4 linked regions of the Elephas maximus indicus genome follow. The protein of the gene in region 1 purifies or fractionates together with the protein of each later gene. This does not show direct contact. Links are inferred from orthologs where the notes say so. Each region holds a gene or a part of one and is shown in the gene's direction. Other genes may lie near its edges.

Region 1 (7,353 bases):
CATGGCCTAGCCAAGTTGATACACATTTTTGGGGACACAATTCAAACCATAACACTGGACTATATAAAGAAGGACAGGGCATCAGGATCGGATGAAGACTCATTAACAACATGTGATATGCAGATACCGCAACTTGCTTGCTGAAGTGAAAAGGACTTGAAGCACTTATTGATGAAGATCAAAGACTACAGCCTCCAGTATGGATTACATTTCAACATAAAACAAAAATCCTCTCAACTAGACCAATAAGCAACATCATGATAAACGGAGAAAATATTGAAGTTGTCAAGGATTTCATTTTACTTGTATCCACAATCAACGCCCATGGAAGCAGTCGTCAGGAAATGAAACGGTGTATCGCATCGGGCAAATCTGATGCTAAAGACCTCTTTAAAGTGTTAAAAAGCAAAGATGTCACGTTAATGACTAAACTGCCTGACCCAAACCATGGTGTTTTCAGCTGACTCATAGCATACGAAAGCTGGACAATGAATAAGGAAGACTGAAGAAGAATTGATGCCTTTGAATTATGATGTTGGCAAATAATACTGAATATACCATGGACTGCCAAAAGAAAGAACAAATCTGTCTTGGAAGAAATATAGCCAGAATGTCTGTTAGAAGCAAGGATGTCAAGACTTCATCTCACATACTTTGGACACGTTATCAGCAGGGACCCTGGAAAAGAAGAGAAAAAGAGGAAGACCCTCGACGAGATGGATTGACACAGTGGCTGCAATGATGGGCTCAAACACAGTAATGACTTTGAGTATGGCGCAGGACCAGGCAGTATTTCCTTCTGTTGTCCATAGGGTTGCTGTGAGTTGCAGCTGACTCAATGGCACCTAACAACAACATAGCCTCCATTTGTTCTTTTTGCACAAATGGTGGCACACTCTTCCCATTATTCTTCATTTTGCTTTCTTCATTTAACAATATCTCTTGGTGATCTCACTACAAGTATACATGTAGATCTACCTCATTTTCTCTGTGATTGCATGACAGTTCACTGTAAGAGTGTGTTGTATTTTAGCATTGTATCTCATCAGTACCATGTAGCTAGATACTTGAGTTGTTTCCTGTTTCCTTCTACTTTAAACAATGCTGCAATGAAAATTATTATACTAGGTCTTTGGTCATAGGTGGGAGTTTAACAGTTAAAGATACACACATATTTTTCATCACTCTTCATAAATGAGTAACTATGTTTGAGAAACATTGATTCAGATGATATTCAAGAAACTTTTCTTACCTAGTTAGTATTTCCCACCACCCTTGCACTCCTCCTATCAAACTGTATGTTCTGGGGTCTTGTTCATTCTCCTTCCACCCCGATTCTCAGAGCTCTCGGGAGAGCTGATAGAAAGGCAGGGGTGAAAGAATGTACTGGAGGGGTTTGTAGAACTTGCTTGGCAGCGGAGATAAAGACCAGAAGAAGGCTTGAGATTCTCCCATAGATGACTTAAATGGGTCTATAGACGAGGGTTTCTCAACCTCTACATAATTGGGGTTTGGCAGGATAAGTCTCTGTTTTGGGGGTTCTCCTGTGTATTCCTGGTCTCTACTCACTGGATGCCAGTGGCCTCTACCTAGCTGTGACAATGCCAAATATGTCCTTGCGGGGGGGGATGTTGGAGACAACCTCTCAACCACGTTTTAGACAATTTGTTGGTAGTAAGTTAACTACCGAACATTTACTAAATATCCATTGTCTGGATCTAGAGGGTTTATCTGGATGGGGAAGCTTTGACGGGAGGATGTTAACTCCCTTTCTCCCATGAAAGACAGCAACAGCCATCTGAGGGGTTGTCTTGCCCACATTCTCCCTCCCATAATCCTTCCTTCCTCCTCTCCCTCATTCCCTCCCATTACACAACACAGTATGTGAACACAGTACCATTGTAAACATTTCAGATACATTACCCTCATCCCTCCCTACATACTGAACTCTCCAGGAGTAATGACTGAATTTATTTTAAATTCAGAACTTTCCCCATACATTTACATATATACTTTAACATACAAAATGAGCATTTTTTTTGTTTTTGACATAAATGGGACTTCACTGTATGTTTCATTGAATGACTTTTTTTAAATTAACAATCCATTTAACAAGTGGACATCAGTTCATATCCATATATTCTTTTTTTAAACTACTGCATAAGTATCCTATATTACAGGTATACCACCGTTAAACAGTTTGCCAATTGACGAATATTATTTTAATATTCTACTTCTAAGTATTCTAACGATGCTGCAATAAACACTCTGGTACAGGCCTCTCTGTAAACAAATGTACCTGTCTACCAAGAAGTAGAATTTTATTTAGGGACACACACAATTTTAATAGACACTGCCTACTTGCCTTATAAAATAAGCTGTATCATTTAATACTCCTTCCAAATGTGATCAAGAGAAGCCATTTCCCACATCACAGGCCACCTGGGTTAAATTACCAATCTTGTTTATTTTTGTCAATCTGCTCTCAGTACAGTCATTTTTGTAAAATGTAAACCTTAGTCCACCCTTGAAAAAACCTTCCACCTACAGAATAAAGCCCAAATTCCTTCACATGCCTTACATGATCTTAAGGTCCCTTACCTCAGACATTTTTTAGCTGCTTCTTTCCTGTAGGCTGATTTCCTTCCTTTCCCCCCACAGACCCTTTGATGCCTGTTTTGGGATCCGTGTCCCAGTGTTGCACCCCTCTGTTGAATGGGTGACAGTGAACAGCATCTTGATCATTTCTGACTCCTAGCCCTGGTACTCAGTCAACACTGAATAAGCAGGGCTGATAAGGGAGTGAGACCTGGGGGAACCAGCGGGGCCTTTCTCATGGCTCCTGAGGCCTCCCCTGGTCTCCAGTCTCGTCTGCCAGGCCGGCAGTGCAGAGAGGAAGAGCAGGGCTGGATTTGGTTCAGATGCGGCGGGTGCCCATTTCTCCTTTCAGCCCTGGCTAGGCCATCCTGCTTGGCCTTTCTCTGCATCCAGAGACGCTCCACCTGCTTCATTTCCAACGTTATTGGCAAAATGTAAGAAGACCCTCCCAGCTGCTTACATACCTGGAATGAGAATGCGAGTTTATGCCTAATGTGTTGGAACCAACCATATTCCTATATAAAATGCTTGTGGTGACCAACAAAGGACACAGCAAAATACTAAGACACACGGACAGAACCAGGCTGGAGGGCCATTTAGCCTAACCGTTTCGGGGAATCTTTGGAGTATCCATGCAGGAGTTGGACAAGTTATCTTCTAAAGATGCAAAGGCATGAAGAAAAAGCAAGTCTTCCAAGTCCCATGTATACACAGCAATTAGAAAAAGGAATGACAATCTTGGGGACACACACAAGATGTGATGTTGCATTAGGCCCAAACTTGACGGGAGACGTTCCCTCTGCAACAACCAAAATGGAAAGTCTGATTAAAACCCCCATAAGCCCACCATTGGTTTAAGCAACCGCAGCATTTGCCAAGAGGGAATGGGGTGGACATATACATTCTCAAACTCAACAGTAGTTTTCACATGTGATCTTTTTACATTTCTTACACACACAACAGAAACTATTTTCTTCTTTTGTTTTCCTTTAACTGTGGTCCAAGTCCAACAATAGCGCTAGCTAAAGGTAAGACTCAGCAAGTGCCCTTAGGCAGCCGCATAGAAATTAAAAAAAAAAAAATTAAATAAAAGATTAAAAACAAAAACTTAACGGGGAATTTTACCCCTTGGTTCCCCTAGTACCAACTGTGCGGAAAAGGCGGGAAAAAGGACCCTGGGGCCGGATCAAACAAGAGAAAGAAAGGAAAGAGAACAGAAGCCAGAGCCTGGAAACTCCTATAAACGCCCCAGAGGGCACGGCGGCCCTGGGGTTCGGTCTCCTTGGAGCCAACCCCCGCGTCAATCAGCCCCTTCCGGCGTTACGATTGGCCAGGGACTTCCTTGGCCTCTCTGCAGCCCACCTCCTAGTTACTTGGGGTTTACTTCCCCAAAGTACACGGGCCCCACCTTGTGGAGCAACCGCTCCTGCGTGGAAAACGGATCTCCGCCCAGGGGACGACGTTTTAGCGAATGAGAGTAGTTTCATGGATTTATTGGCTATTACGGGTATCGGTCACATAACTTCCCACCCTCCTTTTCACTGTACCTTTAAGTTATTGGTTTTTCTGAGTGCCAATCCGTTACTAGGGAAACGCGATCCTTACAGTCTCATACGCCCTAGTCCAAGCCAATCAAGAGCCACGCCTTCACCCTGAGTCAATATCCAATTGTGGTTCGAAGAGCCCAGAGGGCGCATTCGGGATTGGCCATCCGCTCGCCCGGCCTGGCCGCAACAAGTTAGGCTGAGTCGTGGTTATATACACCGGCGGCGGAGCACGCGTGTGTGCGGACGCAGTTCCGTGAGGGTCCTCTGCCATCCGTCCTACTGTGGAGCAGAGCTTGTTCCTCTCCCGCTCAGCCGCGCAGGTAGGCTGGGGCGTGGGCGGGGCTGGGCCGCCCGAGGACGAGGCCGAGCTGGGGCTGCTGTTAGACGGAGAGGTCCGAGCGGCTGCCGTGGCGGCGGCGCGAGGCGCGCCCCCCCTTCCCCCCAACGGCCGCAGGCGCGCGCAGCGGCTCTCTGCCTCCCCTACCCCCACCGTCCGGAGCGCGAGGCCGTGGCCGCCGCGTGCACGTGCCGCGTCCAACGGCCACGCGGGGCGAGAGCGAGCCGCGGCCGCCGCCCGGGCCCCAGGGCCATCTCGGGGGGCCGGGAGCCTCGCGCGGCCAGGGAGGGACTGCGAGCCGGCTGGCCGGCTTTTCCCGCCGCCCGCCCCATCCATCCTCTGTCCATCCCACGCGCCAGCCGAGTGTTTTCTCCCCGCGCCTAGAGGCTCAGACTTGGCCCGGACCGGGAGCGAGGGGTAGGGGCGACCTTCAAGTGCGATCAGAATTTTTCGACCTTCCAGGGAGTACAGAGCGAGCGGCCTTGTGCATGGAGAATTAGCAATAACAATAACTAATGTCTCTAAGCCCTTCCTTTTGGGCCAGGCTTTGTGCTGAGCAACTTGTATGTATTTCATTTAATCCTTCCAACGACCCAGTGAGGTAGGTACAATTGTTTTCCTCGTTTTACAGCGGACTTTAAAGCACCTAGGTGGAGTGACATGGCCAAAGGTACGCAGACGGTAAGGGACAGGTATTTCAACTCAGGCTGCCTGACTTCTAGCCCCCGAGCCTGTTTTATTCTTTGCTCCAACGGCTTGTGCGGTCCCAGGGCACCTTTGCCCCGAGAGCAGGCGTCACTGGGGGCAGCATCCACCTCGGAAGACACAATTGCCGAGAAGTCTCTGCGGCATTTGTACTTGAGGCCAGTGGTGGCCTTCCACGGAGATGATCAAAGGTTGGAAGTGGAATTATGACAAAGAAAGAGGGTTTGAGCTTCCCTTTTTGCCTGTATTCGCTGGGATAGCTGAGGGATGTGCTGCCCTAACAGCTTCTGGAAAAAGTAGAAAAATGAATAAATGCCGACGAACATGGACTGTGTTCCTCATCAGATTTGAAACTCAGCGAGGTAATGGGACATTCTCGCCAGCAGGAAGTTAGACTCTGATATGTAGGTCTTGAATCCTTCTTTTTTTTTTTTTTTAATCAGAGCAGATTTTTGAGAAAGACCTTTGAGAAGGTAGTTTAAACTTCCTCGTTTTATAATTGAAGAAAATGAGGTTTAGAATGAAGAGTTTCAGATCTCAGCAGTATCTGTGGGTTAAAAATTGGAATGGAAAGGATGGCTCCCCGTTACAGGATAAATTTGACCTCTGGAGGTTATAAATGCTAGATGAATCGCGGGTGATAGGGGTATGTTGGAAATTGTACTCTTGTGGAGTTGGGATCTTCTGTGGTTGAAAGCCTTACTACATTCAGCTATTGAGCATTTACTCTGCTCCTGTGTAGACGCAAAAAAGTGGAACACACCTTTCTCATCTTCGAAGGCTTGAGTTTTTATCTTTGTAGCAGAGTTAGATTTTTTAAAGCCTGTATACACTTTGGCTTAATGAAATAATGAATGTTCTTAAGTTGCAAGTCAAAATTATTAATTTGCATCACAGGTGTCTCTAAGACAAAACTGCAAAAGAAGCTTTGGGATTAGCTGTTCTAAATTAGTTTTGAATTGAATGGCTTTCAACCTGTTCTGCTTTTTTTTCTTTTTTAAAAAAAATTGTCCTTTTTACTGTATGCGCTCATACTCTTTAGGATTGCTCTTTAAGGAGTTTTTGCAGCCAGAGGGTACACATTATGTACATTCTTTGTAAGTTAAGACAATGAGGGGATTTAATACTTGCATGTGTTTTCCTTTACCTTGTACTTCCCCCCATGTTTCTAAACAAAAAGTAGCAGTAAAAGATCAGAATGTTGTGTGGACAAGTTCTTACGTTTAGTTGTTGCCATAAATTACAGTTCCATTTGGATATAACATTGTTTTATTTGGAACTTGCAGTTGTGTAACAATTTCTGTTACCTGCATTTAAAGAGGAATTAACTGTGAAATAAGTGTTTTAGGACTTAAGATGAGCAATTTAGATTATCAAATATTGACACACTATGATGACAGACCTACACATTTGATTCCAGCCATTTTTAGTACTACTTGAGGTTAAATATTATCGGGATGAAATAACTATGTATTAATTGAGGGAAAGTTTTGTCAGTAATCCCTTCAAGTATTAACAAAATACTGTTTTTGGCCTCAGGCAAATTGCTGTCATTTGGGGAGAAATAAAATTAAGTGATGTTCCTATTGTTGGTACCCCAGTTGGCCTGCTGTGCATGTATTTATCAAAAACAAGCGAAATGAAGCAAATTGTGATAATATAAGACTTGAGCCTTACTTTCCAATCAAGCCATTAGTACTTTTGTTAAGAGTTAAATCCTTTCAAATCGGAGCAGACGTACCTCTTCTAACAGGTAGAAAAGTAGGCAGTGGTTTTCTTTACCTCACACTTGATTTGCTGTTCTTAGCTAATAGTTTAATAAGAGATCATCAGGAGATTTGGTAAAGTTCGTTGGTGACCCTTGCAGCAATTTTTGTAATTTACATTAGGGATCTTTTACTTGAACTTATTTTAATGCTTTGCACAGAAAGTAAAGGGCAGAGGTTAGTTTTTATAAGTTTGTGAGTTGTGTATGATTTGTAGAAGGATAGATGGGCCAGTGCTCAAAAGATGAGATTTAATGTAAAGCCTGAATTTGTGACTTAAACCAACTTTTTTTTTTGGTTTCATAAAAGTGCCCACTGGTGTTTTCTTAATGCTTTGCAATTAGATTGGTTTTTAAAATATCTGGAAGTTTAGATAGGCGTTGTGTGTTACTAAAAAAAA
Region 2 (7,594 bases), on another chromosome or scaffold:
CAGGCACTCTTTGGAAACCCTATGGGGCAGTTCTGCTCTGTCCTATAGGGTTGCTATGAGTCAGAATTGACTCAATGGCAACAGGCTTTTTTTTTTTTTTTAGATAGATTGCCTTGGGTGGTATTCACATTTTCACAATGTTAAGTCTTCCTGACCATGAACGTGGTATGTTTTTCCATTTATGAAGGTCTCTTTTGGTTTCTTGCGGTAACATTTTGTAGTTTTCTTCATATAAGTCTTTTATGTCCCTAGCTAGGTTTATTCCTAAGTATTTTATCTTTTGGGGGGCTATCGTAAAAGTTATTCCATTTTTGGAGTTCTCTTTGTTAGTGTAAAGGAATCCAACTGATTTTTGTATGTTAATCTTGTACCCTGCCACTTTACTGAATCCTTCTATTAGTTCCAGTAGCTTTCTTGTGGATTCTTTGGGATTTTCTATTGTAGGATCATGTCATCTGTGACTAGGGATAGTTTTACTTCTTCCTTACCAACTTGGATGCCCTTTATTTCCCTTTCTTGTCTTACAGCTCTAGTTAGGACTTCCAATTCAATGTTGAATAAGAGTGGTGATAAAGGGCTTCCTTGTCTGGTTCCCATTCTTAGGGGGAATGCTTTCAGTCTCCATTGAGAATAATGTTGGCTGTTTATGTGTGTATGCCCTTAATCATGTTGAAGAATTTCCCTTCTATTCCTTTTTTGGTGAGAGTTTTCATTAGGAATAGGTGTTGGACTCTATCAAATGCCTTTTCTGCATTGATTGAGGTGATCATGTGATTCTTTTCCTTTGTTTTATTTATGTGGTGGATTATAGTGATTGATTTTCTGATGTTGAACCATCCTTGCATATGTGGTATGAATCCCACTTGGTCATGATGTATTATTTTTTGTGTGCTCTTGGATTCTATTGGCTAGAATTTTGTTGAGAATTTTTGTGTCAATGTTCATGAGGGATATTGGTCTATAAATTTCTTTTTTAGTGGTGTCTTTGCCTGGCTTTGGCTTCATAAAATGAATTCCGAAGTATCCCTTCCTTTTCTATGTTCTGGAATAGTTTCACTAGTACTGGTGTCAACTCTTACCGAATGTTTGATAGAATTCTCCAATGAACCCATCCAAGCCAGGGCTTTTTTTTTGGTAGGTTTTTTTTCTTTTTTTTTTTTAATAACCTCTTCAATTTCTTCTTTTGTTAATGGATCTGTTTAGATTTTCTATCTTGGTTTGTGTTAGTTTAGGTAGGTAATGTGTTTCTAGGACTTTGTCCATTTCCTCTAGGTTTTCAAATTTGTTGGAGTATAATTTTTCATAGTATTCTGATACAATCCTTTTTGTGTCAGTTGGCCCCTCTCCTAAAAAGGATTTACCGAGCCTGTCATGCAGATCGGGGAGGCTCAGAGATGTGACAACCACTTGCCAAAGTTGTGCAGCCTGTCTTATTTCCTGGACTAACCCTCTAGGATCTCAAAGACCTGTCTGTGGGCAAGGAAGGGTCTTCCTTCCTGAGGGTCAGGGCCATTGTTGCTTATAGAAAATAGAGCTTTTGTAGGTAGACTCGATCTCCTGCTGGGAGGATGGGCTGGGTTTCACCTGCTCTTACCTCTAGACAGTCTCTTGATTAAAAGCACTTTGCACAAGTTACACACACAGTCATTTATTTACTTGGTTCTTATCGCTGTCCTCAATAAGGTCAAGTTGTTCTGTGATTGTTTAGCTCATGGTTCTGTCCACAGCACCCATAGCAGAGCCTGGCTCTCTGTATGAACCACATAAAGTTTGTTGAATGAGTGAACAAACAAATGAATCCAGTAGCCAGAGCTTTTACAATTCCACTGTACTGCAAAATTCTTGGCTGCACAAAGAGACAAAAAGGGCCACATAAGCCAGAGATGCCATCATCCTGAGACCAGAAGAACTAGATGGTACCTGGCTACCACCAATGACTGCCCTGACAGGGAACACAACAGAGAGTCCCTGATGGAGCAGGAGAAAAGTGGGGTACAGAACTCAAATTCTAGTAAAAGACCAGACTTACTGGTCTGACTGAGAGGAGGAACCCCAGAAGACAGGGCCCCCAGGCTCTCTGTTAACCCAGAACTAAAACCATTCCCAAAGCTGACTCTTCAGACAAAGACTAAACTGGACTATAAGACTTAAAATGATACTCGTGAGGTGCGTGCTTCGTAGTTCACGTAGATACATGAGACTGATAGGCGAGATGAAAAGGCATAAAGGGACAGGAGCTGGTTGAATGGACACGGGAAATCCGGGGTACAGCCAGAGATATTCTTTAAAAAATACAATTTGAACCAAGGTACTGCCCTGCTTACAATATTCAGCTCTATCCTCCAATCTCAGGATAAAGTCCTAAGTGTTTCAAGTCCTCCAAGAGCTGGTTGTCCTTCCTGCCTCCCACAACACCACAGTCTTGCTCCCTTGTTCCAGCAATACTCCTCCACTCAGGGTCTTCACTTAAGTAACTCCACTGTCAGCACACATGCAACTTGATAATAATAACAATTAACATTTACACGAGCGACTTATATATGTTAGCTTATTCTCATAACTCCATCAAGTGAATACCTTTATTAGTATACTTACAGACTAGGAATCTGAGGGTCAGAGATGTGAATGAGCTTGCTCAATGTCATACACGTAGTAAGTTCCCCTACTAGAGAGTAAGCTTCAGGAGGGCAAGGACTGTTTCTCTCTTGCTCACTAGTACCTAGAATTCATTTGTTTACTCAACAAATATTTATTGAACACTTAGTATGTGCCATGCTAGGCATTGTTCTAGGTCCCTGCTATCATGAAGCTTGTATACACTGGAGGAAAGACAGACACTGAACAGGTAAGAACATATATAAACAATGTTATTTTACATAATAACAAAAGCCTTATAAGGAGCCCTGGTGGCACAATGGTTAAGCACTTGGCTGCTAACCAAAAGGTCCTTGGCTTGAACATACCAGCAGCTTCTCAGGAGAAAAGACTTGCTCCTGTAAAGATTAGTACAGCCTAGGAAACCGTATTGGGCAGTTCTGCATTGTCATGTAGGGTCACTATGACTCAGAATCAACTCAGTGGTACACAACAACAACCGATAAGAGCCTTAATAAGCTCTGGTGGCACAACAGTTAGGTGCTCTGCTGCTAGCCAAAAGGTTGGGGGTTTGAACTTACCCAGCACTTTGTCACATGGAGTCACTAAGAGTTGAAAATCAACTCAACAGCACCTAACTAACAACAATAAATGCCTTGAAAACAGGCCAACGGGATAGTGTCATAGATGACAGTGGTAGGCTACTGTAGACTGGGTGGTCTGGGAAGGCTTTGCTAAGGACAGTACCTATCTACAGAAGGAGCACTTCATAAATGTTTCTTGATTTAATACACTAGAATATAAACTCCATGAGGAAGAGAGGGACTCCCACTGCCCTGACTCCCATGGTATCCCCCAGCACCTATCTCCAGCATTGGCATAGACAAGGCCATGATTAACTATTTATTTGAACAAATGAGTATATATGTTTTTTTCATTTCTTTACTTACATCAGTTTACATTCATCTTACATATTCATTGACTTACATTTTCAATGCAAGAGTGTGTGCACCTACTGATAATTTCTGTTTTTGGTTGTCATAATGATGGGGAAAGGAGTTCCCTGTACTTATGGAGGAATGGTTGCTATATACAGTAAAGCCTGCGAAAGTCAGAACCTGTGTACGGCAGACACCTGTCAGAGAAGGAAAACTCAAATATTTTCCACTAACAGAGAGCAATAAAAAAGTGGTAAGACTGCACCCTGTCAAAGGTGGAAAGCTTGTGAGACTCATAAAAACAAGGCAGTTCCATCGAGTTCTGGATCTCACAGGTTTCACTGTAGCTTGCAATGCATGGGGACAGTATCACATGATGCAGAATCGTTCCATATCCCACATGATTTTTCAATGACCTAACAGACCCTCATGCAGATGAAAAGTCTTTTTATAATTATCTAAGTCTAGATACTAACCTCTTTTACAGAGAAAGTATTTTTGCACTCTTAAATGTAAACTAAATTTTCAGACACGCCACTACCACGTAAATCAAAGAGTGATTGAGTTTTGTCTTATTGACGCTGTACTAAAGCTTGTTCTTTTCAGAAAATCACACCACCCATGGAAGCAAGTCTTTCTAGCTGTAGCATTGCCAACGACTCTACATTTAAGTCCTAGAATTATGAGAACTCAGTATATATTCTCATGTATTCTGGACCAAACATTTACATATTGAACCTATTTTTTAAATTATAAATTGTTATTTCTTCTTAATTTCGCAATTAGGCAATACATTGATTTTTAAACGTTATGCGCATGGGTGGTTAAATTATCTATGGATTCCATTCCCGGATGATGTGGAGAGGGGCTATAATCTATTTATTATGAAAAGTTGCCCTTGGGGTTGGTGAAAGCTCGGAGCGGGAGCGGTCCTCCACGCGCTAGGGGCCGCTGTGGCGCCGCGCGGCCGCCGGGTCGCTCTCGCGTGGCCGCCCCGCCTCGGGCCCCCGGGCCGAGTGGGCGGGCACGGCTGCGCCCAGGTCGCGAGGCGCCCTTCGACCAGCAGCGCCCGGGGCGGGCGGGTATAAATGGAGCGGTGGCTCCGCTGGCCGCCTCTCTCCGCCCCGGGTCGCCGCTGTCTACGTTGTTTTCGGGCCCAGTAGCCTGAAGAAAAAAAGATAAAAAAAAAAAAAAAAACGGAAACGCTTTAAAAATCTTAAAAAAAAAAGAATACGCGAATCTTCCTCGGAGCACCCGCAGGGAAGTCACTTTTGCACGCTTCCGGCCTGCCCCTCGCCCGCCGCCGCACTTTGGCGTCTGTCCGCCTCCGTCTGTCGGTCCCGTGGTGAGCAGCCCGTGCCCGCCTGCCCGCCGCCTGCCCGGGCCTGCCCTCGTCCACGCGCCTGCGCTCTGACCCTCGCGCGTCCGTCCGTGCTGCCCGCCGCCCGGCCCTGCCCGTCCGCGCGCGCCGCGTGGCAACCTCGGCGCCCGCCCGGCCCCGCCGGCAGCCCTCGCCCCCCGCGGGCCGGCCTCCCCGGCGCACCACGTGTCCGCGCTGCCCTTCGCGGAGCCCGGCGTGGGAGGCGGCTGCGCGCGCGCACGCACGCCCGCCTGGGGCTTGCCGAGTCGGCACCGACAAATATTTTGTTTCCCTCTTCTCCTGGCTGTTGTAATCCTAAACCGCCAGGAGCCCGGGGCCTATATTTATAGAGAAACGCGTCTCCCGAAGGCCGCTGTGGGCAGCATTTGGTTGCCTCTTGAAGAATTTTTAGAATTTGGAAGGGGATTCCCCATTTTAATATTTTTTTTTGAAATTTGGAGGTTCAAACCAGGACAGCTGCAAATTACAAACTCCCAGGGAGGGCCATATTGTTTTGAGCGCCTTTTGTCTGAGGTTTTGCAGAGTCTTCTATGAGCTGTCCCTGAACTCCTGTTTTCCGTCTTCTGTGTATCTGAGCCTACTCCAACGCCCCTTGGCTTCACTGTTGCCACCTGTGAGCCGCCGCGCGAGCCACGGCTCCGAGAAGAGCCCCTTTTGTGCTGTGGTGATCCCTAGAAGAAGTCCTCCTGGCGGGGCTCGGTGTGGTGGGGGGCGGGGAGATGAACGCTGCAGCCAGCAGCTACCCCATGGCCTCCCTGTACGTGGGTGACCTGCACTCGGACGTCACCGAGGCCATGCTGTATGAAAAGTTCAGTCCTGCGGGGCCTGTGCTGTCCATCCGGGTCTGCCGCGATATGATCACCCGCCGCTCCCTGGGTTATGCCTACGTCAACTTCCAGCAGCCGGCTGACGGTAAGTAGAAGCTATGCCTACAAAATTGGGACCTCAGGGAACCCTGGGACTTATCTAGGCAAGTCCCTACCTCCACGGAGAGGGGCATCAAGGCAGCATGTTGCCCCAAAAGCCAGTAGTGGGAGCCTCCTGTAAGGGTTAAGAACGCGGAGCCTGTCATCTTATGGGTGGAGTTCCTAGTATCACTTGCTAACTGGGTGACCTTGGGCTAATAAGTTGTGGAGGTAGGGTTGGAACCCAGGAAGACTGCATAAAGAGTGAAGCCACTGTCACTCTACTGTGTGTGTGGTTCTGCTCAGTGGGACTGGACTGTTAAAGCATCTGCCTGGTCAGTGACTATGGGCTTGTGCCCCTCACATGCCCACCAAAAAAGCAGGGCGATTGAAATACAATTCCCTGCAAAAACTTGAGGTTGCAGAACTGCTGGCCTCTCCTCCTCCCTTGACCTGGCCTGAATCCTTTGAGTTTTGGCCGATAAGGGCTCTTCAGGGCAGATAGAAAGCCAGGGAGCAGTTCTGTGTGGGGATTTGTATTAGTGTCCCCAGAGTTGCATGTGCAGCCAGTGCCAGGTCAGCTCCCCAGTCTGCATGTTTGCCACTGAGGTGGAAGAGTTCTTTGCCCACAATGGTGACCAGTTAGTCTGGGAAAGTGCCACCTGAAGTTTCACTGGGCTGGGGGCTGGGGCTGGTGAGCATTATCACCTTCCCTCTGCACAGTGATTGACACTTCCACTTCATGCCATCTGAAGGAAATAGGACTTCTGTGAAGGAAAAGGATCAGCAATTGGAGGCTAAGTTGGGACTCCCAGTGCAGTGCTCTGCCTGCCCCAGATTGGAGCAGTGGAGAGGTATGCTGCAGGCTGGCAGGAGTGAGACAAGAGGAAACCTAATCAGGGGCTGCACGTGACTCCAGACTAAGAGGGAACAACTGCAGAGACCATTACAGAGAGAAATGAACTGTTCTGTGGCAGAGTCCCTCCTTGGTTCACTGTTCACGAGGCAGAGAGTGTAACTTGCCCAGGATGCAGCTGAGACGGGGGAATTGGACTTGCCTTCTGAGCTGAGTTCTGTCTGGGGCCACAGGAGCACAAAGAAGGTAGCTCAGTGTGGCCTTTCTGGGGGAGGGGTAGTGGGTACATTCACTAGCCGTGGCCTGCCTTCTTGGCTCTTCTGAACAAAAGTACTGTCACTTAGAGATAGTAGCAGAAGCCATTGGTCAGTGTGTCTGCCAACACATACCTCTGCAGGACCTCTCCCTGCTATAAATAAGACAGCCAGATTTGTCAGACTAAGCCGACTTGCCTTCTGCAGTGCTCACGTGAAATAGAGAGGAGTCGTGTAGAAATGAGTCCCAGGCATGGGTTTCACATAATCCTCGCAGCCGACTCTCCTGTACCTGGACGTTTCCTGTCCTTTGTCTCCCTTTTCCATGCCTTAACTGAAGAGTGTGGTTGGAAATAACGAGGGAAAAGAAGACACTCCTTTGGCTGGCTGGACGCTGAACTTCTGGAGGGGAGAAATTAGGGAGTTGATTCTGCAAGACAGGAGAAAGCTCCCTCACTCTAGCCCTGTCTGAATCCCCTCAGGGAGGAAGTTCTAGGTGATGTCATTGCATTAGTGAAGTCACTGCTGTGAGGTTGTACTGTAAATCAGGTCTGGGTGTCCTTGTTGCTGCCAGTGAAGAAAAGTGTTCCTGGCTGGCAGCTTATTTTTACTTCTGGTCCTTTACATGGTCTCCATGGTGCAAACATCGACTTGGTTGCCAAACT
Region 3 (7,599 bases), on another chromosome or scaffold:
TGTCATGGATTGAATTATGTCCCCCCCAAAATGTGTGTATCAATTTGGCTGAGCCAGGATTCCTGGTGTTATGTGATTTTCCTACATGTTGTAAATCCTGCCTCTATTATGTTAATGAGGGAGGATAGGCAGCAGCTGGGTTGGCGAGACAGGACTCGACCTACAAGATTGGATTGTGTCTGGAGGCGATCTCCTGAGATTTAAAAGAAAGAAGCAAGCAGAGAGACAGGGGGACCTCTTAGCACCAAGAAAGCAGTGCCAGGAGCAGAGAGCATCCTTTTGACCTGGGGTTCCCTGCGCCTGAGAAGCTCCTCAACCATGGGAAGATTGAGGATAAGGACCTTCCTCCAGAGCTGACAGAAAGACAAAGCCTTCCCCTGGAGGTGACGCCTTGAATTTGGAACTTTAGCCTACTTTACTGTGAGGAAATAAATTTGTCTTTGTTAAAGCCATCCACTTGTGGTATTTCTGTTATAGCAGCACTAGATGACTAACACAGAATCACAACACAATACTGTCTGATATAGTGTTAGAAGATGAGCCCCCTGGGTTGGAAAGCACTCAAAATACACAGTGGCCACAACAATGGATTTGAGCATACTAGAGTTTGTGAAAATGGTGCAGGACTGGGCAATGTTTCATTCTGTTGTACATGTGGTCTCCGCGAGTCGGAGCCAACTCAATGGCAACAAACAGTGTACGGAGAAATAGAGCGATAAAGCAAATGTGATAAAATATTATCAGTTGTGAATCTGGATGAAGGATCATAGTAGTTCTTTGCACTATTCTTGTAACTTTATTTCTACATTTCAAACTATTTCAGAGTAAAAAAATTTTTAGAAAAATCTAAGTTAGACCTAGACCAGTCAGGGAGGCAGCTTCTAATTCTGGCAGGATCTAAAAACATGAGGATTAAGAGGAAATTAAATCTTGATAAAATGAAGTTACTCGCCTTGGTATTTCTGTTAGTTTCCAGAAATGCTTGTACAGTTCCCCTCCTGTTCACCTTTTGGAGCTGGCAAAGCTGGAAATGGAGGTAGGTACCGGAAGGTGAGGGGGCACGCCCAAGAGACTGGCTACTAACTGGGGCCCATTCCCATCGCTATGGTTCCCCAGTGCCCTTTCCTTCCAATTGAGACTCCTTGTCCTGGTGCTGGAAACCAGTTCTCCAGGAGCCAATGGGAAGTCCTCAGACTCTCAGCCTCTGGCCAACTCTGGTCCCACTTGTTTTATGCCTTCCGGGATTACATTCCAATTATTGTCTGTCTTGGGCTCCCAATCTGTCCCCACCCCTACTTACTCTTGTTTGAGGCTGGCTTTCATTTTTCTCGTGTATCTTTACACTGCTAGTACAATTTTGGTTACAGAGTAAGCACTCGATAAATTCTTTCTGATTCCTTATCTTCAGAAAGATTTAATAAATACTCTGAATATACAAGATGGATGTGAACGGATACTTTTTGGTTCTCCAACAATCTACAGGCTTAATGTGTATTCAAGCTTATAAGTGCTAAGGAGCCCTTGTAGTGCAATGGTTAAGCACTTGGCTGCTAACCAAAACATGGGCAGTTTGTACCCACCCAGCAGCTCCACGGGAGAAAGACCTGGTGATCTGCTCCTGCAAAGATTACAGCCCAAAAAGCCCTATGGGGTAGCTATGAGTTGGAGTGAACTCAAGGGCACCCAATAACAATAACATCAAGTCTATATATAAGGGCTATAAACGAGCAAGCAAGCAAGCCAGCAGAACTTGCAAAAAACTGCATTTCAAACAAGTAAAACTTCTGACAATCAGCACTGTAAAGCTGAGGCCAAGAGGAGAACAAAGACTCTGGAGCCAGCCTCCTTTCAGCCTTATTATTCTTTTCCTGGAGAAGTTACTTCTATTCTTCAAGACAGTGGTTACTGATCTTCCCAACTCAACTGACAACTTCCCCAGGCACCTAAGGCTGCAGGGAAATGGCCAAAAAAATTGCCTCAGCCTCAACCTTGTCACACAAAGCAGCCCAGGCAGGTGTACGGAGCATGGCTCCAGGGTCTGACAAACCTGGGGCAACAAGGTATGCGCTGGGTGACTTCCTTAGGAAAATGTGTGATCTCAGGCAAGTTACGTGGCCCCTGAGCCTCAATTTCTTCTTCTGCAAAATGGGCATAATAAACTGACTTCTCCTCTCAAACAGCTGGGTGGGTTAAGTGAGATGATACAGGCCACTGTGCTTCATTCACTGGTTCAAAACCTTAGTTACCATCAGGGCTCTGTATAGCCTTGTCGCTGTGTGCAGGGATGTCCCTGGGGGCCTGTAAAGGTCACTCATTACGTGCTACCCCCGGTCCCTCCTCCTTCACCCCTCCAAATTGGTTCAGGAATTCTGGTTAACACGAGCAGCAGGGATCAGAGACAAACTTGCGAGACTTACTATTTATTCCCTAGGAGGCTGTAAGAAGCAGGAGGCAGTAGAACCTACTCACTCCAGAGCCAAACTGCCTGAATTCAAACCCTAACTTCAATATTTACCAGCCAGGTGAATTTGGGCAGGGTTACTTAATCTCTGTGCCTCAGTTTCCCCACCTGCAAAGTGAAATAACAATAAAACCATTTGCCACTGAGTCAATTCCAACTCATGAAGACCCCATGTGTGTCAGAGTAGAACTGAGTTCCATAATGTTTTCAGTGGCTGGTTCTTTGGAAGTAGATCCCAGGCCTTTCTTCCAAGGTGCCTCTGGGTGGACTCGAACCTCCAACCTTTCAGTTAAGCAGCATGATAACACTAGCACCTACCTTACAGAGTTGTCGTGAGGCTTATACAGTTAATACATATAGGGCACTTAGACCAGAGTCTGTGTAAGCCTTTGCTATTACTATATTTCTTTGAACCAGATGGACTATATTATCTCATAGACCAGTAAGAAATTAAAGCCCCTGGTGGTGAAGTTACCACACTCGGCTGCTAACCCAAAAGTTCAAGGTTCAAGTTCACCCTCATGCCCCTCGGAAGAAAGGCCTGGCAATCTACTCCCCAAAAATCAGCCAGTGGAAACCCTGACACATGTGGGGTTGTCGTGAATCTAAATCGACTCTACCACAACAGTTTTTTTTTTTAATGGTTTTAAGAAATTAAAAGTGTTCCTAGCCCAATGTGTCCCCTTTTCCTTCCCCTAAACCCATTGCCCCCTTGCATCTGTGGAGGCTTGGGTGTTGCTGTGATGCTGGAAGTTGTGCAATGACAAACAACAACAATCTTCACGGAAGCTGACTGCCACATCTTTCTCCCACAGAGCAACGTGTGGGTTCAAACCGTTGACCTTGCGGTTAGCAGCCATGCACTTAACCACTGTACTACCAGGGCTCCTTCTTTCCTCCCGCTAGCCAACCTCCAAACCTGGAAAGATCTTTGCTTCTAAATAATAGCAGTATTAATAGCAGGTTAAACACTCAGCTGCTAACCAAAAGGTCAGCGGTTCAAACCCACCAGCTGCTCTGTGGGAGAAAGATGTGGCAGTCTGCTTCCATAAAGACTGCAGCCTTGGAAACCCTGCGGGGCAGTTCTGCTCTGTCCTGTAAGGTCGCTATGAGTCAGAATCAACTGGACTGCAGTGAGTATGAGATTCCAGGGGGCTTTTTTTTTGGTATGACACATCTCCAACTGTATTTGTAACTGATACATGAATTTCTCATTTCAGAAATGTGAAACAAAATAAACGTCTTAAAACAGATGAAATATAGTATTGTTACCTTAGAGGGCTGGAGCTGGTGTTAATATTGTATGCCTCCAGGTTCAAATCCAAAGGCCACCATACACTGCCTGGGTGACCTTATGCAAGACACTTAAGCTCTCTATGGCCCAGTTTCCTCATCTGTAAAATGGGGATAGTATCAATAGCAACTAAACAAACAAACCAAAAAAACCAAACCCATTGCTGTAGAATCAATTCTGACTGATAGTGACTCTACAGGACAGAGCAGAACTGCCCCATACGGTTTTCACAGAGGTGCTGGAGGATTCCAATTGCCCACCTCTTGGTTGGCCGCCAAGCTCTTAGACCACTTTGCCACCAGGGCTCCATCAATAAAAAAAAAAAAAAAATCAATAGCAACTAAAAAAACTACCATGTGAAAATGTTGGGCGAATTAAATATGCAAGTACTTTGAAAGTAAAGAGCACGTAGTAGGCGCTATTATTGATCAATAGTTATTTTAGAGACAAAGATCTTCTTTCCAGGTTTGGAGGTTGCCTATGGTAAGGAGGAGAGGAAGAACCGGCTGGCTTCTTAGACAAACTGCCCTGGACTCTCCTGCCCTCCCAAGCCCGGGAACGGTCTGGAGAGCCCGCGACCTCTCGCCCCGCCCCCGCCCGCCCCCGCCCCGCCCCGCCCCGCCTTATTTGGCATGGCCCCGCCCAACCCTTCCTGGCTCTGCCCCTAAGCTAGTCTCGCGCGCTTTGAAACTGCGCGAGCTAGGCCGAGACCTGGGGCCGGCGGTTGGTCGGGCAAAACCATTTGCTACGCTACCTGGGGGTCATTAAAAGCCTACTCATTCGTATTTTCTAAGTATTTAACTTTTCAGCCCTTGATGCTGGTCTTATCTAGCTTTAAAGTTTTATCTGTATTATCACACTCCCAATAAGGACCTTAACTCGCTAAGAAGAGAGTCGTTGTGTGTCTGTGAGGCGGCCTCCCCCTCTTAACGGGGATTCGATGGGAGAGGACGACGGCCGGCGTGGGGAGGAGGTGGCCCTAGCGCCATTTTGTGAGACCGGGGCGGTAATTGGGTTGCTCTTTGGTCTCTCGGTTTGTTTCCTTGTCTGGCTTACTAGCAGCGGCCTAGCAGGTGAGTCGCGGACGCTCTTCACTGAGGACTTCTTGGCTGGGTGAGCTCCCCCATTGGGACGGTCGAGACTGACGCAGCAGCTTCGGGCCCCGCAGAGGAGGGAGCCGTGGGGCCGGGCCTGCCTCCGCCGGCCCGAGCGGCTTCGCGCGGGAGCTTCGTTAGGGCATGGCGTGGGGTGGCATTCGGCGCCGAAGCAACGACGCCGGTCCCGCGGTGCCGCGCAGTCTGAGACGGAGGTTAGGCGCGGCCACCAGGCCCGGGCGATGCTTTGTGCCTTCGGTACTTCGCAGTCTGGGGGGCGCTGGCAGTTGAGGCTGTGTACCCCTGCGGCCCCACCCGGGCCGCCCTAAAAACTCCTCCCTCTGCTGTCACGCATTGGCTTCTGGGAGGTGGCGGTCCGAATTGGTCGCCGCTGTCCTTGTGACACAAGTTTGGAGAGCCCGAGGAAGCCCTAAAGTGACAAATAGGAAGGAACTTTTTTATCATGTCTTCACCTGGCTCATTCTTTCTATTCGGTCCTCAAGTGTCAGGTTACACCTGACCTATCCAGACTCTCAGGTCTGACCCAGTTGAGGTTTTCCTCGGCCGTCTCATGGTTATGTACTTCATTCTGATACTATGTATGACAATTGTAGTAAAATAGTTACTTGTTTACTTTGTCTTGTTTACCCCTGCCCCCCTTGTAACCAGCATGCCACTTGGGACAGGTTTCACAGTTCCAGCTGCAGCACCTGACCCACAGCTATCCCTCAGGAAATATTTAGTGAATGAATGAACCTAGCAGGGCATCGCATTCTAATAGAAAATCACTACTCTTGCCATTGCCTCATTTCTCAAGAAAAATCCACGTGTGTAAGAGTCCACACAGCAAGGATTTTTCTGGAAGTCGTAGAGTGATAATGTGGGGTGGTGTTAGTTATCAACAGAATTCAAGGAAACAGTTCCCCTGGCATTAGTGTTGGTCATTCATGTTTCTTTTTCCTTTTAAGAAAAAGATGTCTGAGTATATTCGGGTAACAGAAGATGAGAATGATGAACCTATTGAAATACCATCAGAAGATGATGGAACAGTGCTGCTGTCCACGGTTACAGCCCAGTTTCCAGGGGCATGTGGCCTACGCTACAGGAATCCAGTATCTCAGTGTATGAGAGGTGTCCGCCTAGTAGAAGGAATTCTGCATGCCCCTGATGCTGGCTGGGGAAATCTGGTCTACGTTGTCAACTATCCCAAAGGTTTGTTGCCATTTCGCTTTGCAGTGTGGTGGGACTTGTGCCTCATCCCAAGTCACCAATCATGACCTCTCTTCATGGTGAAACATCTATAAAGCAAGCTTTTCCTTAAGCTTTATTATTAGACTAGTTTGGAAGACCACTAGTCTAAATTAATAAAAATGGGAAGTTACAGAACATTTTTTAAGAGGAAACTATTTAAATAACAAATTATCTGAACAAGCGTTGCCAGGTTGATGGCAGATTTCAGGGATTCTTAAGAATGCTTTGCAGTTATATCTGTGCTGTGGATTCTTGTAAAGTGCCCCCAAGTTTTTGGGCTGTCATTGCCCTTGGTGGTCTTAGGTCATTCAGCTAGTCTGACTTCTTTTTCCTCTAAAAGGAACATTCAGTTGCAGTAACTCAGATTTTTGAATTAGTATGGTCCTAATCGACTGCTAACCAAAGGGTCAGCAGTTCAGATCCGCCAGGCGCTCCTTGGAAACTCTATGGGGCGGTTCTGTTCTGTCCTAGAGGGTCGCTATGAGTCGGAATCGACTTGACGGCACTGGGTTTTAATGCTAAGTCTTATTCTTGCTGGTGCTTGTCACTGCTCTAAATCTAAGAACAGCATGAAAATTAAGAGTGCTAAGGATGTAGATACATTTTAGCAGTAGGAATGTGTGCTGGTTGGTATATCTGCTTGATACTTATATGTTACTGCAGCAAGGTAAGATTATCAAAGTTGGTTAAGACACAGGACGTTGACTTAATATACCTAGAAGATTTTTAACTGCATAATTGTTTTTTTAGTATGCTGTTTATTAAGCCATTGGCTATAGATTAATATTTACTTGAATGTAAAATGTCATTGATTTTCTTTCCCTTCCTTTTCCAAATATTGACTTTTTAAAGTAGCTTAAGGTTTTCTTTATTACAAAACTAATGTGTGTTCATTGGTGAAAGTTTAGAAAAGACAAACCGATTCACAGTTATAGCTGTAGCACCTGACCTTTAGTACATACTGAGCAAATATTTAGTGAATAAATGAACTTAGCACGATTCATTCCATCATCTGGACATAAAAGACACTAATTTTTTGGTATATAGCCTTTAAATTACGTAAGAGACATTGAAATGGTTAAGCAGATACGTTTAACATATAGAAACAAGGATAGTATCACACATTTTTAAGCATTTATTTTTCCTGCTTAATGTAGTTTTGGTGCTCTGGTGGCATAGTGGTTAAGAGCTCTTCTGCCAGCCAGAAGATCAGCAGTTTGAATTCACCAGCCACTCGGAAACCCTACAGGGCAATTCTACTCTTTTCTGTAGGGTTGCTAAGAGTCAGAATCGACTGGATGGCAACAGGTTTTGTTTTTGTTTTTTTTTTTTAATTGTGCTTTTGTAAGTGAAAGCTTGCAAATCAAGTCAGTCTCTCATACAAAAATTTATATACACCTTGGTGTATACTCCTAGTTGCTCTCCCCCTATTGAGACAGCACATTTCTTCTCTCCACCCTATATCCCCATGTCCATTCAGCCAGCTTCTGTCCCCTTCT
Region 4 (6,984 bases), on another chromosome or scaffold:
AATTTGCCAGTGGAAAATTTACATCCTTTATAGCAATCTTTTTCTATTACGCAATCTAGGCCAGGATCAAGTGTTTCGTTTAGCTATTAGCCACTTAAGCCTCCTTCAATCTGGAAGAGTTCCTCTACCTTTGTCTCTCGTGCCACGGGCGTTTTTGAAGAACGTCCATCTGTTTTCTCTAGTGTGTGTGCCTTCCTTTTACGTATGTAAGCATGTATGTTTATACCTATTAACAGCATGGATGCACAGATTCTTCTTTTATTCAGTGGGTTATGATCTATTACTTTCCTTATTTTGATGCACAATTTGTCCCAGGTTTGGCCAGTGAAAACCTCTTCAAGCTGGCTCCTATGTCTCTTTGATCTCCTTATCACTTTTTTTTTTAAGTACTTGTTTTCTGCCACAAGATGTTCCAAACTCATCTTGTACCTTCCTTACTTCTGCCCTGGAATCAACCATTTCTTCAAGGAGCTCTGAGTCCTTTTATTGAAAAATACTATTTGGAAAGCAAGATCTGGACACTAGATATGAATGCGAATGTATTATGTGTATATATATGTATATAGAAACCCTGGTGGCATAGTGGTTAAGAGCTACAGCTGCTAACCAAAGGCTGGCAGTTCAAATCCACCAGGTGGTCCTTGGAAACTGTGTGCGCCAGTTTCTACTCTGTCCTGTAGAGTTGCTATGAGTTGGAATGGACTTAGCAGCAATGGGTTTGGGTTCCTTTTTTTTTTTCTTCCCCACTGAGAACCCTGGCTCCCAACAACACTCATGTGCTCAGTTCTACAATACCCCAAAATAGTTTCAGAACTGCCATGACTTTATCACTGTAACTAGAGTTGAGGTTTTTTGCAGTTATTTTTCCTTTAGGCTGAAGACACTTGAAGAGCTACTTGAATTAGTTCTATTTTTCTCCCTTCAATGTGGTTATTTTCTTCATCTGAGATATAGTTGGGTTCATTTGTTTACATCTGTACTCAGTGTTTAGCCTCCCATCCTTATTGATCTCATTTTTTTAATATGTTGACTGTGCTATGATCTGAAAAGTCAAAACTATACGAAAAGGTATACTGAAAGAAGTGTCCCTTCCCCTGGCCACCCCCCATCGGAGCTCTGTTGTCTTCTTCCAAAAGAAGAGTGTAACCCAGTAACCAAGGAACCCCCATTTTTCCCTATCCTAACAGGTAACCAATTTTATTAGTTTCTGGGTTATTCTTCCTCTATTTCTCTTTGCAAAAATTTGCGGATACATTTATTTCCTTCTCTTGTTCCTCATACCATAGTTTCTACTCTTTTGAACTTTGCTTTTCTCAATTAACAATATATCCTGGCAATCGCTCCATATCAAATCATAGTCATATAGTTTTTTAATTCATACAAGAAAACAACATTCCAGTCATTTACCAATTTGTCGATTGGGTGACAGCCACTGACCTTGGCACAAGGGATCTAGAAATGAGTAAAATACAGTCCCTGCCCTTCATGATCCCAATGGAAAGGAGACACACATATATAAACAAAACCAATATGGTGCTCTGGACGTCCAGAGGAAGGAGTAAATAACAGGATGTCTGAAAAGGTGACACTCCAACTTAAGAATAAAAAACTAGAGAATTGAAACGGGAATTCTAGGTGAAGAAACAACACATGTAAAGGCAGGGCTGAATAAGGGCAAGACATATTGTGGAAAGGGAGCCCCAGTGGCACAGTGATTAAGCACTCAGGTGCTAAACAAAAGGTTGGTGGTTTGAACCCACCAGTAGCTCTGCAGAAGAAAAGACCTGGGGATCTGGCCCATAAAGATTACAATCTAGGAAACCCTACGGGGCAATTCTACTCTGTCCTACAGGGTCCACTACAAGTCAGAATGGACTCCATGGCAATGGGTTATGTTATGGAAATGAAAGTTTAATTAGAATCTGAGGGGGAGGGGCAGGAGCACTGAAGAGGTAGCATGGTACCAGATAGTGCAGGTAATGCCAGGAAAAAGCTAGACTGTATTACTTAGGCACCCAGGAGAATGAAGGTCTTTAAGATACGACTTGGAAACATTTACCTCACAAATATTTAATTGACTGCCTGCATCGTGCTAGGTAGTGCAGAGAGGGCAGTAAGAATCAAGATCCCAACCTTTAGGGAGCTGACACTTGCAGGAAGACATAATTAAATGAGCTATCAGAATAAAGTGGCCACGCACACAGAACGGGAACCTAACCCACTGGAAATTGGGGTGAGACTGAGGTGAGAGAAGACTTCCCAAAGAGACCCAAAAAGCCCAGTGCCAGAGAAGGGCTGCCTTTTAACTGGGAGGCAGGAGGGGAGGAGAGCTGGAAGAGTTCTAACGCTAATAATGCCTGGAGCAAAAAGAGATTCAATCCTCACTGTCGAGTTGATTCCAACTCATAGCCACCCTATAGGACAGAGTAGAACTAGCCCATAGGGTTTAAAGAGAGATTAAGACATGAGAAATTTCACTGGATAAGACCACATGCCCATCACTTCTCCATTCCATTCTCCACATTGCAAATCTGACCTCTTCATTTTCTAAAAAAAGCCCCACCCCACTTCATTGAAGATCAAGTGGGGGCCTTTAGAATCTGGTCCCAGGTTGCCTACCTCGTGTCTCTATTTTTTAACCTCTTCTTCTAATTTTATGCTCCAAACCTACTGCCGCTGAGTCAATTCTGACTCATAGCATCCCTATAGGTCAGAATAGAACTGCCCCATGGAGTTTTCAAAGAGCGCCTGGTGGATATGAACTGCTGACCTTTTGGTTTGCAGCTAACCACGTATACCACCAGGGTTTCCATTCCAGCCATGCTGAATTTTTCTGTTTGTCACATTCATTTCCCACTGCCTAAAAATTCATCTCTCTACTGTCTTTTCAATTTTGATGCCACGGAACACTGGATTCGGTGTCACCTCTATCTGTTCTCACAGTGCCCTGTACTTCATCTAACAGATCTCATCTAATTGCGTGAATCCACAAACAGCTCGAACTCCTCGAGGGCAAAACTAAAGCCAAACCCACTGCCTTCGAGTAGATTCCAACTCATAGTAACCCTGTAAGACAGAGTGGAACTGCCCGGTAGGGTTTCCAAGGCTGTAAATCTTACGGAAGAAGACTTCCATGTCTTTCTCTGCTGGTGGGTTCCAACTGCCGACCTTTTTGGTTAGCACGGCTGAGCGCTTTAACCACTGCACCACCAGAGCTCCTTCCCTGGGGGTAGGAAGTGGTTTACTTATCGCTGTATCCAAATGTCCTAAAGCCCAACTAATTTTGAATGAATGAATGCTGGCTTTATCAGAGTTGGGGGGAGGGTTTTGAACTAGACCGTAAGAACCTCGGCCCCGAGATAATGGAAATTTCTTAAATTTAAGATTTATGATTAGGCTAATCTGCAAAGGCCAGTACGATAAACTCGGACACTTCAATCCTCTTCAGTCTTCTATTTAAAGCAGGTAAGGTCCAAAGTAGCTCCTCACAAAACCTACCACCTGCTTAAAGGAGTAGAACCCTTGGCTTAGCCAATTCCGGGGATCTTTTTGCATTTAGACTCCACCCACTAGCCCCAGAATGGCGGAAGAATCGAACGATACGTGGTACCTCCTCACACAAATGCGGAGGCATCCCGACGTTACGCCGGCGGCGTAGGCGGGGCGACCGGTTCTTCCTCTCCGCTTCCTCGGCCCCTCCCCCGGCGCTCACACGGTCATTGTGAAGCGACAGCCGCTGCCAGTTTCTAGGGCTGTTTCAGACCTAGAGACTTTAAATTCTTGGCGCGTGTGAGCGCCCGCGCTGCTCCTTTCCCACTCCAAAGGCTAAGGGCGCGAAATTCACTTAATTTTATTTTCCCTCCTCACCCACCTGGAGCTAACCGCCCCGGTGCGCGCCGGCATTCGCGCCACCTCTCCCTCCTCCCCGCCCCTCCCCCTTCGAGAGCTCTCACCCGCGCGCTCCCCCCTTTCCCGGCGACGCGCACGCGCGCCAGGCCGGCTCGCGCCCTCTCGGTTTCCTACAGCCCGCGAGACCCCCTCCCCTTCCGCCTCGCGGCGCTTCCTCGCGCCGCGGTCTTCTCTATCCACCCCCGACACCGCGGGGCTCCCCCCGCCCGCCAACGGCGGGTCCCCAGCATCCCAACCCCCCTCGCTTCCCGCGCCCTCCGGCAGGGGCCTAGTCCCGGCCCCCTCGCTCCTTCCCTTCCCCCTGATTCCCCTTCCGGACGCTGCCATCATGTTGAAGCCTCAGCCGCCACAACAGACTTCCCAGCCCCAGCAGCCGCCCCCCACGCAACAGGCCGTGGCCCGCCGGCCTCCCGGGGGCACCAGCCCTCCCAACGGCAGCCTCCCGGGGCCGCTGGCCTCCACCTCGACTTCCCCAGGGCCTCCCGCGGCCGCTTCCCCTTGCCTGGGGCCCGGAGCCGCTGCAGGGAGCGGGCTGCGCCGGGGAGCCGAGAGCATCTTGGCGCCGCAACCGCCGCCGCCGCAGCATCAAGAGAGGCCAGGGGCAGCTACCATCGGCACCTCCAGGTGAGGAGGGGTGGGCTTCCGGGCGGGGGAGCAGAGGCTACCAGGAGGAGGCGGCGGCTCTGTTCCGGCCCGGCGGCCGGGGCCTGAGTACAGCGGTGTGGGGCGGGCCCCAACGTGACCACCTATGGACGGCACCGGGGGGAGCGAGAGGCCCCCCGTGAAGATGGGGGTGGGTACCCTCAGGTCCTAACAGGTCGGAGGAAAAGGGTCCCCGGGCAGCCATGGGACATTTGGGGGCCAGGCTGAGCTTTCAAGGCCTAGGCAGGGTTCGGGACTCGGGCTTTCAGGGGAAGCGGGGCGCACCTCTCCAGCACCGCCGAATCGGGGAGTTGCGGGGGGGAGAAAAGGTGAGCGGGGTCCCCGGCTCCATTACCACGGAGGGTCTCGCGGTCCCGGGCTTCAGCCAATGGGGAGTCAGCTGCGGGAAGGGGTCCCCGGCCGTAGCCAATGGAGGGGGGCGCGCGGCCCACAGTTTGGCCAATAGGGAGGGAAGGACTTGGGAGCGGGTTGCTACCTCCCCCTTCCCGGTCTGGCCAGTAGGAGGGGAGCGGGGAGGGCGGGGGGACGGAAGGAGGGAGGTCTGGGAGGGCTGCGGGCCGGGAACCTCCGCCGCGCGCGCGCTTTTGCCGTACGTGCGCGCGGATGCACTGTCTCTTGACCCGGGCATTCGTGTGTCCGGGGCAACATATTGGGCAGAAGCTGGGCGTGTGCCTGGAGGGGTACTGGAGGCCCCACTCGGTTTCTCTCCCTCTCGGTCTCTCTTTTTAATGGAATTGAGGGTGGTGGTACACGCAGGCGCAGTGGGTTCTGGTCACGGGAGGGGGCGTTTCGAAGAGGCCCGTGGGCTTGAGAGCGCAGGCGCAGACCGGGCGAGGCCTCCCGGTGGATGGCTTTTGCGGCTGCGCTGTCCCCCAGCCCCGCCAACGGCCCCCTCATCGCCCTCAATCGCCGGTTACATCAGCCATCGAGGAGCGGGGTTACCGAGGGATTGGTGACCTGTCCGAGTTGGTAATAGGCTGAATGGGTAATGAGGTCTAGGGGGTGAGGTGTGGAGGGGCTTTCCTCTCAGGGCTTGGGGTGTGAGGCTGCTGAAAATGATTGTCTTTTCTATTTGGAAAGTAATGTGTCTGAGGTGCGTGTAGGTACTACCAAATCTACCTACTGAAAATGATTGTCTTTTCTATTTGGGAAGTAATGTGTCTGAGGTAGGTACTACCAAATCTACCTAAGTCTTGCCTTTATATCTGGGATGGGTTATTGGTTATCGAATACTGTAGCGTTGTCTGTTGGAAGCATGCAGCCCTCTGCCCCTGGGAGAAAGTGAGGAGGTTGTGTTGAATTGGCTCTTCAGACCAATGACAATTATTCCCGATTATGGTTTATTTTACTGGAATTTGGAGGCAGCGTATTTACTGGCTCTTGATGCTTACTGTTGTTTTCCCCTATAAGGTGAGAATTTGAACATCTTGTTGGTAAATTGGTTTGTAGCCTAAATCAGCATCTTCATTTGGTATGTGTTTCTAGGATATTAAGTGCTTTGAGGTTAATGTTGTAAAGGAAAATTAAAAAGATTTAAATAACCAATTTTTTTATCCTTTCCCTTTTAGGGGACAGAGCACAGGAAAAGGACCCCCACAGTCACCAGTGAGTACGTTTATCTCTCCCTAAGATATGAGGACCTAAAAGCCGCTCACATGGGGTATAGGGGAGATTAGGTACAGAGGTAGAGGGGCTGAGAAGGACCGGAGACCCAGCACACACAAGGTGGGGGTGAGTGGAGCCTGGGCATTTAAAAGGAAAGTGAAACATTGACTGACCGACCACTTCTTATTTCTCCCTCTTTTGTCGCTGACAGGTGTTTGAGGGTGTTTACAACAATTACAGAATGTTACATTTCCTTACAGCTGTTGTGGTAAGTGGGTACTTAACCCCTAGGTTGTTTAAGACGGTTAGGACTCAATTTGCTAGAGACATTCTTATTTTTCTCATTCTCCTAGGGCTCTACTTGTGATGTAAAGGTGAAAAATGGGACCACCTATGAGGGTATCTTCAAGACTTTGAGCTCAAAGGTCAGTGTACTCGAATCAGCTTATTTTTGGACTTTGCTGGAAGAGGAGAATGGAATAGATTTATCAAAGGCATTGGATTGGGTGGTATTGGTCAACATTATGGGTGTTACTCATTATGTAGGTCTATGCCAGGGTAATACTACAAGTGGTAATAAAAGACGTGGGTCTGAATAAACATGGGCTCTTCTGTTGTTAAAAAGCATGAATTTTAGAATGTCAGATGTTTAAATTTGAGACTTTTGTTAGGCCTTCGGGTGGTGTTGAGAAGGCAGTGTACATGGGGTACTTTTGGAAAGAGTAAAGGGAAAATAGTTGTATTTTTGCTTTCACATTTCTTGATACTGACCTTCGGGTGTTGGGGAATGGGGGCTCTTGTAGTTTG

The links.
Region 2: the proteins of G3BP1 (region 1) and PABPC4 purify together in Homo sapiens (affinity purification with mass spectrometry; 4 studies listed by BioGRID and IntAct, with this or other methods). This does not show direct contact. The link is inferred for Elephas maximus indicus from reciprocal best matches to the Homo sapiens genes G3BP1 and PABPC4.
Region 3: the proteins of G3BP1 (region 1) and TARDBP purify together in Homo sapiens (affinity purification with mass spectrometry; 3 studies listed by BioGRID, with this or other methods). This does not show direct contact. The link is inferred for Elephas maximus indicus from reciprocal best matches to the Homo sapiens genes G3BP1 and TARDBP.
Region 4: the proteins of G3BP1 (region 1) and ATXN2L purify together in Homo sapiens (affinity purification with mass spectrometry; 4 studies listed by BioGRID and IntAct, with this or other methods). This does not show direct contact. The link is inferred for Elephas maximus indicus from reciprocal best matches to the Homo sapiens genes G3BP1 and ATXN2L.

What each region holds. Positions count from the first base shown.
Region 1 is NC_064820.1:167,399,305-167,406,657, forward strand, and holds the start of G3BP1 (ras GTPase-activating protein-binding protein 1), read left to right. Parts: upstream 1-4,353; 5' UTR 4,354-4,465; intron 4,466-7,353. UniProt on the Homo sapiens protein: Protein involved in various processes, such as stress granule formation and innate immunity. Plays an essential role in stress granule formation.
Region 2 is NC_064821.1:81,201,760-81,209,353, reverse strand, and holds the start of PABPC4 (polyadenylate-binding protein 4), read left to right. Parts: upstream 1-4,593; 5' UTR 4,594-5,633; coding exon 5,634-5,826; intron 5,827-7,594.
Region 3 is NC_064821.1:50,843,531-50,851,129, forward strand, and holds the start of TARDBP (TAR DNA-binding protein 43), read left to right. Parts: upstream 1-4,598; 5' UTR 4,599-4,811; coding exon of another isoform or gene 4,812-5,152; intron 5,153-5,370; coding exon of another isoform or gene 5,371-5,422; intron 5,423-5,817; 5' UTR 5,818-5,823; coding exon 5,824-6,061; intron 6,062-7,599. Other genes in the region: C3H1orf127 (uncharacterized protein C1orf127 homolog), read right to left, coding at 4,812-5,152, 5,371-5,422. UniProt on the Homo sapiens protein: RNA-binding protein that is involved in various steps of RNA biogenesis and processing.
Region 4 is NC_064830.1:88,857,124-88,864,107, reverse strand, and holds the start of ATXN2L (ataxin-2-like protein), read left to right. Parts: upstream 1-3,964; 5' UTR 3,965-4,237; coding exon 4,238-4,533; intron 4,534-5,117; exon of another isoform or gene 5,118-5,419; coding exon of another isoform or gene 5,420-5,541; exon of another isoform or gene 5,542-5,557; intron 5,558-5,570; exon of another isoform or gene 5,571-5,700; coding exon of another isoform or gene 5,701-5,738; exon of another isoform or gene 5,739-6,043; intron 6,044-6,140; coding exon 6,141-6,177; intron 6,178-6,388; coding exon 6,389-6,445; intron 6,446-6,530; coding exon 6,531-6,602; intron 6,603-6,980; coding exon 6,981-6,984. UniProt on the Homo sapiens protein: Involved in the regulation of stress granule and P-body formation.